Linked DNA regions of Saccharomyces cerevisiae S288C. Changing the gene in region 1 together with any one later gene gives a genetic interaction. Each region holds a gene or a part of one and is shown in the gene's direction. Other genes may lie near its edges. The genes, in order: DEG1, URM1, ELP6 and VPS71.

Region 1 (3,441 bases):
CTTTGTTATCTCAGGCATTCTAGGCAGGCGGAAAAGACCATACAATTTCGCAATACCAACATAATCTAAAGATTGAAGCCTAAAAATTGAAGTTGCGGAATGATTTGAGTAGTATTTAATAAAGGCAACATATGCTTTAACACCTTTATCAAATCTATCCCTATCTTCTAGTATCCAATTTCTAAAGTCCTCGTAAAAGTTTGTTGTTATGCCCTTTACTTCCAAATCAAGTTCTTCAAGTTCCACATTTTTAACTTGCATGAAAGGAATAAAATCCTCTTCTCTGCCTTCATTAAGAAACGTAATTGCTTTACCCACTCTATTTGCTCTACCAGTTCTACCACATCTATGCATGAACATATCAGTATTGGTAGGGGGATCAAGCTGGATGACGAGATCAACGTCGGGTATGTCAATACCTCTAGCAGCCACATCTGTTGTGAATAAAACAGAATTACTTAGCGAATCAGTAAAAGCTGTTAGAGTTTTTGTCCTTGCCGATGTTTGAAGTTTTCCATGCAAGGAAAATATTTCTACTTCATTCACGAGAATATTCCTCTTTCCCAAATACTGGATAAATGAGTAGAAGTAGGAGACTGACACACATGTTGGAAAATATACAATACATTTCTTGAATTTGTAGTTATTCAAAATGCTAACCAAAAGTTGTAGTTTTTCGGCAGGATTTACGACACAGTAATTTAATTTCAAAGAGGAGGGCGCCTGGTTCTTAGAGTTAACGGTAATCCTGACAGGATTTCTAAGCCCTGTCTTAAAGATATCTGATCCGGCGCTACGCATAGTTGCAGAAAATAGACCCGTCCTTCTTTGTTTAGGCAATAGCCTCAGAATTTTTTCGGTATCCTTAATAAAACTCATATCCAACAATCTGTCTGCTTCATCCATAACTACCATACTGCATGCTGACGTCTTTACTGCTGGCATTTGTAAAAAGTCCAAAACTCTACCAGGTGTTCCAATCAGAATCTGCGGTCTATTCCGCAGAAAATTACTTACATCATCTCTAACTGTGGCTTCATTAGTACCAACCAGGAGCTGACATTTAATAGGGAACAAGTCGGAAGGATAATGTTCCAGAAATGATAGAACGACAGACTCAATTTGGCGTGACAATTCTCTTGTTGGAGCAATAATTAACGAGTGGAAGTGTGCTTTCTTGAATTTTGATGTATTCGCTTCTTCCTTTACAACTTTTTCTAGTACAGGTATAACAAACGCAGCGGTCTTACCTGAGCCTGTTACAGAATCAACTACTACATCCTTGTTGCCAGCAAGCATGGGAATTGTCGATGCTTGGACTGGAGTCATGGTCTCAAAACCCATAACATCGAGTCCTGTCCTTATCCAGGGAAGTAAAGAAAACCCGAGATTATCCCATTCCAATGACTTTGACATTGTTTTTATTGCTGCTGAGCTTTTAATATTATCTTACTACACCTCAAATCAATGGGCTCAGCTCATCTTGAAAAGCTCACTTTGTTTTTCAGTGAAAAATTTTTGAAAGCGAAAAGCCGGCTCAAAATAAAGAATAATATAGTATTCTCGAGGTGCCCACATGCAATCTTTACTGCCCTACTATAACCTCCCTTGAATGAGTAATTTCATTAGAAGGCTAGTTGGGAAAATGAAAGCGATTTCAACAGGTACCAATGCTATTGTTAGTAAGAAGGACTCCATTTACGCAAACTGGTCCAAAGAGCAGCTAATACGAAGGATCACTGAACTAGAAAACGCAAATAAGCCACATTCTGAAAAATTCCAGCACATCGAGGATAACAAAAAGCGCAAAATTTCGCAAGAAGAGGTTACGAGAAGCAAGGCGAAAAAGGCTCCGAAGAAGTTTGACTTTTCTAAACATAATACCAGGTTCATCGCCTTGAGATTTGCCTATTTGGGATGGAATTACAATGGCTTAGCTGTTCAGAAGGAATACACACCGTTGCCTACAGTAGAGGGTACCATTTTGGAGGCCATGAATAAGTGTAAACTTGTTCCCTCGATGGTTTTACAAGACTATAAATTTAGCAGATGTGGCAGAACAGACAAGGGAGTTAGCGCCATGAACCAAGTTATATCGTTAGAAGTCCGTTCCAATTTAACAGATGAGGAACAGCGGGATCCGACCAACGACAGCAGGGAAATACCCTATGTTCACGTTTTAAATCAATTACTACCCGACGATATTCGTATATCAGCTGTCTGCCTCAGACCGCCACCTAACTTTGACGCAAGATTCAGCTGTGTTCACCGGCACTATAAGTACATCTTTAATGGAAAAAACCTTAATATTGAAAAAATGTCTAAAGCCGCATCATATTTTGTTGGAGAGAGAGACTTCAGGAATTTTTGTAAGCTTGATGGCTCAAAACAAATTACCAATTTTAAACGAACAATAATAAGCTCAAAAATTCTTCCCCTTTCTGAAACTTTCTATTGTTTTGATCTCGTTGGTTCAGCATTCCTATGGCACCAAGTTCGTTGCATGATGGCCATTCTTTTCTTAGTTGGTCAATCACTTGAAGTGCCGGAAATTGTCTTGCGTCTGACTGATATTGAGAAAACCCCTCAAAGGCCTGTTTACGAAATGGCAAATGATATACCATTATTGTTATATGATTGTAAATTTCCTGAAATGGATTGGCAAGAACCTACTGTAGATGACTATAAGGCAATAAAATTCACGACAGCTACTGAAGCATTGACGTTACACTACGAACTTAAGGCCGCAGTATGCAATATTTTTAAAGATGTTTTGCCCACAGCAAATACAAACAACTTCTCAAAGACAATTATTAATTTGGGCGATGGAAGAGGTAAAGTAGTCGGTACCTATGTGAAACTAGAGGATAGAAGCGTTATGGAACCTGTCGAAGTTGTTAATGCTAAATACTCCAAGAAAAAGAACAACAAAAATAAGTAAAATAATATATAAACCTGTATAATATAACCTTGAAGACTATATTTCTTTTCATCACGTGCTATAAAAATAATTATAATTTAAATTTTTTAATATAAATATATAAATTAAAAATAGAAAGTAAAAAAAGAAATTAAAGAAAAAATAGTTTTTGTTTTCCGAAGATGTAAAATAGGTTGAAAGTTAGAAATTAGTATTATAATAGCAAAAAAAATTTAAAGTTAGAAATTAGAATTTAAGGCTCTACACACGTTTACGATGATATTGGACGACCGACACGAAAAGACAGTTTTAGGCTTTCTTTTGTCTTGCTCTTGCGTTGAAAGTACGTAATTTCCATTCGATTACTTACTCAACACTTGATATAGAGACCAACTATAAAATAAACTGTTTGGGAAGGAAAGCAGAACTCTTGTAATTACCTCATCTCATTATCAAGAAGCAAAATTTTAACTATGTATTTTGACCTTATTTTTGTACTCCACTTTTTTTTTTTAGTTTTT
Region 2 (2,433 bases), on another chromosome or scaffold:
GGCGGTCTCTTTCACTTACGATGGATGGTTTCGTACTGGTGATATTGTTGAATGGACTCCCAAGGGACAACTTAAAATTATTGATAGAAGAAAGAATTTGGTTAAAACCCTAAATGGTGAATATATTGCATTAGAAAAGTTAGAATCTGTTTACAGGTCAAACTCCTATGTGAAAAATATCTGTGTTTATGCCGATGAAAGTAGGGTTAAACCGGTGGGTATTGTGGTACCCAACCCAGGACCCCTATCTAAATTTGCTGTCAAATTGCGTATTATGAAAAAGGGTGAAGACATCGAAAACTATATCCATGACAAAGCATTACGAAATGCTGTTTTCAAAGAGATGATCGCAACAGCCAAATCTCAAGGTTTGGTTGGTATTGAACTATTATGTGGTATTGTTTTCTTTGATGAAGAATGGACACCTGAAAATGGCTTTGTCACATCTGCTCAAAAATTAAAGAGAAGAGAAATCTTAGCCGCTGTTAAATCAGAAGTCGAAAGGGTTTACAAAGAAAATTCTTAGAGAGAAGCTTATTACCTTCCCCTTCCATCTATGCACGGTGTCTCGTACTTCCATAGAGCACCGATTAGTGAATACTAAAACTATGTGCGTGATAAATGGTTCTCTTTTACAGATGCGGTAAATCAATTATTGATATACTACATAACATACAAACATGTTTCATTTCCGTAATACAAATTACAATTGTATAATTAAAAAATATAAAAAACTTCGTGATATGAAATCACATTTTGCTATTGAGTTTGCCACATGAGCGGTATACGAACTATTCGTTATTTTATGACTTTAAAAGCCATACCGAAAGTAGGCTTGAGAAGTATGACTACTGTAGGAGTGACCACTACTGTTAAATGCAGATAGCCGTCTTATGCTCTTCCCTTGTTCTTCTGAATTGGGAATGCATAGCTTGAAACATCAATCTTAATAAGGTCTTGTTTGTTTCTGCTTGGCTTTCATAGTAGCAAATAGTTTCGACCTTAATGTAAGAAATAAAAGCAATCGTTAATTTGAGTAAAGATAACCACTCTTCCTCTTCTACTATCAATATAATAAGAATAACGCTTATGGTTTATTTTAGCTTTTTTGAAAGCTAAACATTAAAAAAGAATAAAAATGCACGGCATACCTACATATTTTAAAAACATATATTTTATGATTGACTTTAGCAAAAGTTGGCGCTGGGTACTTTGAGACTCTTTCCTACAAAACGTTACCAACACTTGCTAGTCTAATCTAATCTACTTAATCAAGGTTTTAGTGGCGTACCATGTGACGGCCATCAAATGCCATCAGTTCTACAAGTTCACATATATTTATATATAACTATTCTCCTAACTTGTATAATATTATACCGAGACAGAGGATAGATTCAATTGATTTCACATACCGGATTATGTTCCTTCCCAAGTTCTCAATCTTATTTAGACTTTTTTTTTTAATTACATTGTCGCCCACTTCGGCAGAAAAAATATAACGACAAAGTAATGGCATCGCATCGACCTAATGAAATACTACTGGCAGACGGTATGGAGAGCTCAAAAATTCCCAAAGCAGAAAACAATACTGATTTCTGATACTAAAACGAGATAGGTTAATAGCAAAATCGGGATGGTAAACGTGAAAGTGGAGTTTCTAGGTGGACTTGATGCTATTTTTGGAAAACAAAGAGTACATAAAATTAAGATGGACAAAGAAGATCCTGTCACAGTGGGCGATTTGATTGACCACATTGTATCTACTATGATCAATAACCCTAATGACGTTAGTATCTTCATCGAAGATGATTCTATAAGACCCGGTATCATCACATTAATCAACGACACCGATTGGGAGCTCGAAGGCGAAAAAGACTACATATTGGAAGACGGTGACATCATCTCTTTTACTTCAACATTACATGGTGGTTAAAAATAGCAGCAAATAATTTTTAAGAAGCAGCTACATATATATATATAAAGTGCTGTACAGCTTGAATGAATCACAAGTTAGATAACGTAGGTAATATGCAGATAGTATAAAAAGTAATAGTAATAACTGGATTGGTTTTTTTTAGTACATGACGAAGATTATAGCTCTTGTATCCTACAACCCAAAAGACCTCTACCATTCCAGTTTCTCGAAGGTGTTAGCGATGTCTTTAGGATTTGCCCTTCTCTCAAGAGAAGGACGGGAAGTGGCCTGTCTTCATTTTTCATTACAACCATCTGAATGTTTTGAAGTTTAGAGTGGTTTGCCGCATGCACATTACCAATAGAAATCAGCTTATCATCAACCTTTATGTCTGCTTTATCTGAAGGGCTACCGGGTACTACCTCACTGATAAATGCAAAAGGGATGGTATACTGAATAGCTTGATCGTCGTTATTCCTTCTTGCATCTTGGTTTGACTTAACGTTCATATTATCAAA
Region 3 (3,314 bases), on another chromosome or scaffold:
AAGTATTGTAAAAGTGCCAGTATTAATTTAGCAGTGGAGATTTTTTTTTTGGTGGCATCGACCTGGGAATTGTCCTCAAGAATGACAACCTCAGAAACATTAAACAGCGATGCAAACTTGGCCACTTGGTACACCTTATGCGTGATTTGAGAGAGGTTGCGACAGTCCGATACCAATGTCGTGGGGATACAGAGTGAATAATGTCTGGTTTGTGATAGAGGTTTCTCAACCTTTTTGAACTTCCTCGTGCTGCTCATCAAACTAAGTGATACACAGCTTTGTGGTCAGTAGTATATATTCCTGGGACCGGTAGTAGTTGTGAAACAGAGTACTCTCACTTGCCGATCACAGCTCATCGATGGGAAATTTTTCATGTATAAAATAAAGCTTGTTAAAAAATCAGTTCGTTTCGCGTGATAACAAACAGTGCATATTTATGTACCAAGAATCCAAAAAATAAGATATATTTAGTATAGGTAAACGTTATGGAGGTGTCATGTTTCATGGTTCTTTTGTCGTACTATCATCTTCGTCTTCGTCTTCGTCCTTTAGCGCTTCACGGGACTTTTTGTTGAAAATTGCCCTTACGTCGTAATGCTTCTTTCTCATTTCTTCAAATTTCTTATGTCTAGCCTCCGGTGAGTCTTCATCATTCTCGTCGTTGGTCTCAAAATCCGGTTGTTTGTTCTCTTTGATTTCAAATTCCGGTTCGCCCAGGGACAAATCGTCGATGTCATCGTTTGCCACCTGGCATGGTTTTTTATCACTATTATCCTCATCTTCATCATCATCTACTCTGTAGTATTCCCCGTGAGGGTCCACAGCACCTTGGTAGGGGGTCTTGGGCTCGTCTATGTGAATATCTTGGAACTGCTTTTTTGTTATTTCATTTTCTGCTAAATTTCTTTGGTTCCATTGAACTCGCTCTTCTGGTGTCATCTTGGCCAACATGTCTTGCTCATGTTTCAGTGACAGTGTGTCCTTTGGAAGGAAGGTACTCGATGTTCCAATTATCTCCCCCTCCTCTTTTGTATTATCTAGTCCCGGTATATTCCTTTTATGTGATGTCAATTTGGCATTTTTCTGCGTATTTTCGTAAACTTGTCTTCTAAACTCTTCAAGCGTTTCTGGATCCTGTTGCGCCAGCTGCTCCGGCGATAAGGCTAGCGGGTTTTTAAGTATACCTCCCATTATTCTGCTGATGTGCGTTCTTGATGATACGAACTCGTTGTACTGATGAAGCTCTTGGACTTTAAGTTGTAGTGGTGTTCTCAAATTATCCTTTCGGTGGAAGTCATTTCTCCCTAAAAAAGCGTGAGGGCAAAACTTGAAACCGGGTAAGAATATGCGATAGTACCGTTTTGCCTCTAAAGACAGTGCTTCAGAGAAATATTAGCAAGGTGTCGAATCAAGTTATACTAGATAGGAGGATTTCATAATGAATAATGCTTTAAAATGGTTCTCACCTTTATTTTATCATTTTCTTCTTTTCTTCTGCTATTGATTTGGTAGTGTTCGGGTTAATTCATTTTTTTGTTCAATAACAAGAACCAAACATAAAAAAAAATACTTTAAGAATAAACAAGACTGATGAAGCATAGATCATATTATTAGAGCGCGTAAGGTATGTAGAGCACAGATTGGTCCTTCGAGTGTGATTATATAATTTTATATACGCTCCTTAATTTAAAAGCGGCTTAGATAGATTTTTTATACTTTGCTGTTGGAAAATTCCTGCTGAAGCAAAAGAATTTGCAATTCGTTCTTAGCCTTTAACCCCAATTTTAAGGCTGAAGCCGTGGCTTATATCATGGGCTTTGTTTATCCAACTTTTCACATCTATAGTACGCTATCTTTGCATCTCTTAGGCATGAATTGATAGGCGATGAGCAGAATGAAAAATGAAAAAAAAATAAAAGTACTAAATTGAGGCTAGTAGAAGTTAGGCAAAAACCGTCCAGAACCTCCACAAAAATAACTAAATACACATTTATGGGTAGTGTTCAACGACAAGATTTGGTCCTATTCAGCGACCAATCAGTGCTTCCTGCCCACTTTTTCCAAGACAGCAACTCTCATAACTTATTCTTCATCACCCATCAATCCTGTACTCAACCACTATGGATGATAAACGCACTAGTAGAAACGCACGTGTTAGGTTCCCCAAGTTCCCTTAATGAATCTTCTTCATCGATGCTACCTTCGTCAACTCGCTCCCATGCAGTCCTTGCGTCGTTTATCCACGAACAGAACTATTTTACAAATTCATTAAACAAGCTAAAGATCCCATCTAATAACTACAATGTTTTAGACTTCCTGTCCGACTTCATCGTTAATAATATCCATAATAAGCCAAGAGACAAAATACTAAGTGACGTACTCGCAAAGTTCTCCGCTGCTATACAAAATAACCCAACTGACACCATTGTTATCATCGAACAACCAGAATTACTGTTGTCGCTAGTAAGCGGCCTAACTTGTTCAGAATTAAACAATAAGTTCATCACACCTCTTTTGAGGCAATGCAAAGTGCTAATCATTGTTTCCAATTCGGACATATTTAATATAGATGAATACGATGCTTCTGTTCATTCCTCGAATCTGCAAAATTTCTACAAATCTTCCTTTATCAAATCAATGATTAATTTGAACTTGAATCCTCTGAAGACCGGTTTTGCAAAGGACGTAACCGGCTCATTGCACGTTTGCAGGGGCGGCGCACCCATTGCAACTTCAAACACAAGCCTACACGTCGTTGAAAATGAATACCTATATCTGAATGAGAAGGAGTCAACAAAACTATTTTATCGCTAAATAATGATAAGATTATATACGAGGCACATTGATTCTCGTATTATTGTTTTTTCTATGAACTGAATATATTTTTAAGTACAATATCAATGAAAAATATATGCAATCGAGCTCTATCAATAAAAAAAATAAGACAGAAAAAAGTGGAAACGATACTACCTACTCCGTCTTGCTCTTATTATGTCGTCTAATTTAAATTCGACTGCACATCTTGTCTTAATTAAAGCTAGTGCGGGCCATGTACTTCGTTCACCAGATTTTATCCAGTATGGAATGTTGTTTAGTTGACCTTCAATAATCCTTGTTAATGATAGACTTTTCATCCTTGGTACCACAGCAATCTCCGTAGCTGATCTGGGAGTCTTTTCATCAATTATTAGTCTTTTTATTAATGAGCACAACAGGCCTAAATTATCCAATACCTCCATCCTATGTCGAAATTCCATAGTGGCAATATTTTTTAATTTTCTTTCCAGATGATACTTAAATTTAAACGCCAGCGG
Region 4 (3,035 bases), on another chromosome or scaffold:
TTGCCAGGGTCACAATGTCGTTTGCCTCTTGGGTATCAGATTGCATTTTTTCAATACTTTTGGAAAGAATTTTCATGATATCCGTATAATCAACGGATAGGATGTCTTTGACCCAGGTAGGTAGGAATTGAGAGGGAGCAAATATTTGAAAAGTGTTATACAAGAAGGTGAGTTCATCATCAGTGATCTGACGTACGGGTTTTCCGTTTACTGTCGGAATAATACCACCGAGATTCGAGTTTTGTAAAAATTTGATGTATGTTTTAACCCAATTTGGAAAGTCATTAGGTGAGGTTAACATTGGTGGTGGTCTGACATATTTTTTAGTGGATGTCATATCAGAGTCCGCTGAGGATGAATCAGTAAATGTATTACCTGACTCAGGTGATGGAGTGCTCAGAGGCGTTCCAACTGATGATGGATACTGCGGAAACTGTGATTGTGGCCCAGGTGGAAAGTACATAGGCGACATTTGATAAGGTGTATACGGAATCATAGATGGGTGTCCGTAAAATGACCAACCAGATGGATTGGCTTGGTTTTGGGTCATCATGCACTGCTGTGGGTACGGCCCATTCTGTGGAGGTGGTACTGAAGCAGGTTGAGGAGAGGCATGATGGGGGTTCTCTGGAACAGCTGATGAAGCAGGTGTTGTTGTCTGTTGAGAGTTAGCCTTAGTGGAAGCCTTCTCACATTCTTCTGTTTTGGAAGCTGAAACGTCTAACGGATCTTGATTTGTGTGGACTTCCTTAGAAGTAACCGAAGCACAGGCGCTACCATGAGAAATATGTGAATGTTGAGATAATTGTTGGGATTCCATTGTTGATAAAGGCTATAATATTAGGTATACAGAATATACTAGAAGTTCTCCTCGAGGATATAGGAATCCTCAAAATGGAATCTATATTTCTACATACTAATATTACGATTATTCCTCATTCCGTTTTATATGTTTATATTCATTGATCCTATTACATTATCAATCCTTGCGTTTCAGCTTCCACTAATTTAGATGACTATTTCTCATCATTTGCGTCATCTTCTAACACCGTATATGATAATATACTAGTAATGTAAATACTAGTTAGTAGATGATAGTTGATTTCTATTCCAACAACTAGTAACACGAATACTACTAAACAAATGATATTTTAGAGTTCCATTTCAACATTATGCACTCAATATTCATTATTGTTGTTAAGGGCTTAATATTGTAGTTGTCAGAAAACTTTTACTATTCGGTGATTCCTTAGTGGCTAAGATTCACAAGTTCACAAGGGCGTGTGGTCTAGTGGTATGATTCTCGCTTTGGGCGACTTCCTGATTAAACAGGAAGACAAAGCATGCGAGAGGCCCTGGGTTCAATTCCCAGCTCGCCCCTTTTTTTGATATTTTTTTTGGAGTATTACAAAAACGACCATTCATTAAGGAAGTGAAGTCGGTGGAATAGCTAGAGAGCTTATATTTATTTAGTCGTTGCTTTATGTAACGAAGCAATCAATAAAATATTTGTGTTCTGTAGAAATAACTTTGATCCGGGTAATAGATAATTAATAACTACTTTTTTTATAATGAACATGATGATCTTTGTGAGTATTAACAAAAGTCGAAGCGGCCCTTTCAATCTATAGTAACGTCGATATCATTGATAGATCGAAGAAAAAGAACGGATCGCTTACTCATAACAGCGAAATGAAGGCGCTAGTTGAAGAGATTGATAAGAAAACTTACAATCCTGACATATATTTCACGTCATTGGATCCTCAAGCACGTCGATATACTTCAAAGAAGATTAATAAGCAAGGCACAATATCCACCTCTAGGCCCGTAAAGCGCATAAACTACTCACTGGCAGATTTAGAGGCCAGGTTATATACTTCGAGATCTGAGGGAGATGGCAATAGTATAAGCAGACAGGATGACCGAAATAGTAAGAATTCCCATTCATTTGAAGAAAGGTACACACAACAAGAGATTCTCCAGTCGGACAGGAGGTTTATGGAACTTAACACAGAAAATTTCTCGGATTTACCAAATGTACCGACTTTATTAAGTGATCTCACAGGCGTACCACGAGATAGAATTGAATCAACAACCAAACCGATCTCACAGACCTCGGATGGTCTCTCTGCATTAATGGGTGGTTCTTCTTTTGTAAAAGAGCATTCCAAGTATGGTCATGGTTGGGTGCTTAAACCAGAAACCTTACGGGAAATACAATTATCGTATAAATCTACAAAACTACCTAAACCAAAGAGGAAGAATACCAATCGTATTGTGGCGTTAAAGAAGGTTTTAAGTTCAAAAAGAAATTTACATTCGTTTTTAGATTCTGCGCTGCTAAACTTGATGGATAAGAATGTCATTTACCACAATGTTTACAATAAACGATACTTCAAAGTGTTACCCCTAATTACGACATGCTCTATTTGCGGTGGCTACGATAGTATTTCAAGTTGCGTTAATTGTGGAAATAAGATTTGTTCTGTAAGTTGTTTTAAATTGCATAATGAAACTAGGTGCAGAAATAGATAGTAATGATCAGTATGTATTCGTAAGCCCTTTTTTCTCCCCTATTTATACGTATGTAAGTGTAGATACTTAACAAAAATATTCACAAATTAATTGAAGAGGAAAGGTGAAAAATTCATAACTTTGCTTTTCGTTTATTCTCATTTTCCAAGGCGTCAAAAATTTCATCAGCAGCTTGAGATAAATAATAGTGTAATCTGTTAACACTGGCTCCACTCTTGGCTGGTTTGTTGACAATATTGATATGCAGCCACTCGTTATTCAACATGTATGCCAGTCCAAACCCGTTGTCATTTACTTGAGACCAACCATAACCGTCAAAATATTCCGAAGATAGTTGAGATGTGGAGATCAACCAAGTTGAAGAATAATTAAATAAGGGATCTTTGAAAAGGGGCGGAATTTGGTCATCATTAGATTTTAGCATATTCTTTAGACCGAAGAAATGACGATCGACACCATTACCATTTGCAGCATTTTTCAGGTACGTAGAATGCTCTTTT

The links.
Region 2: mutations in DEG1 (region 1) and URM1 together harm fitness more than expected from each alone (negative genetic interaction), as found in Saccharomyces cerevisiae (5 studies listed by BioGRID, with this or other methods).
Region 3: mutations in DEG1 (region 1) and ELP6 together harm fitness more than expected from each alone (negative genetic interaction), as found in Saccharomyces cerevisiae (4 studies listed by BioGRID).
Region 4: mutations in DEG1 (region 1) and VPS71 together harm fitness more than expected from each alone (negative genetic interaction), as found in Saccharomyces cerevisiae (5 studies listed by BioGRID).

What each region holds. Positions count from the first base shown.
Region 1 is NC_001138.5:145,519-148,959, forward strand, and holds DEG1 (pseudouridine synthase DEG1), read left to right. Parts: upstream 1-1,612; coding exon 1,613-2,941; downstream 2,942-3,441. Other genes in the region: ATP-dependent RNA helicase SPB4, read right to left, coding at 1-1,416. UniProt on the Saccharomyces cerevisiae protein: Formation of pseudouridines at positions 38 and 39 in the anticodon stem and loop of transfer RNAs.
Region 2 is NC_001141.2:340,903-343,335, forward strand, and holds URM1 (ubiquitin-related modifier URM1), read left to right. Parts: upstream 1-1,633; coding exon 1,634-1,933; downstream 1,934-2,433. Other genes in the region: long-chain fatty acid-CoA ligase FAA3, read left to right, coding at 1-526; NAS2 (Nas2p), read right to left, coding at 2,092-2,433.
Region 3 is NC_001145.3:896,413-899,726, forward strand, and holds ELP6 (Elongator subunit ELP6), read left to right. Parts: upstream 1-1,992; coding exon 1,993-2,814; downstream 2,815-3,314. Other genes in the region: UPA2 (putative methyltransferase), read right to left, coding at 1-257; PP1-complex regulatory subunit GLC8, read right to left, coding at 502-1,191; TGL3 (bifunctional triglyceride lipase/lysophosphatidylethanolamine acyltransferase), read right to left, coding at 2,967-3,314. UniProt on the Saccharomyces cerevisiae protein: Component of the elongator complex which is required for multiple tRNA modifications, including mcm5U (5-methoxycarbonylmethyl uridine), mcm5s2U (5-methoxycarbonylmethyl-2-thiouridine), and ncm5U (5-carbamoylmethyl uridine).
Region 4 is NC_001145.3:194,413-197,447, reverse strand, and holds VPS71 (Vps71p), read left to right. Parts: upstream 1-1,692; coding exon 1,693-2,535; downstream 2,536-3,035. Other genes in the region: YML040W (gag protein), read right to left, coding at 1-820; carnitine O-acetyltransferase CAT2, read right to left, coding at 2,648-3,035. UniProt on the Saccharomyces cerevisiae protein: Participates in the catalytic exchange of histone H2A for the H2A variant HZT1, an euchromatin-specific factor, leading to chromatin remodeling and changes in transcription of targeted genes. Indirectly involved in vacuolar protein sorting.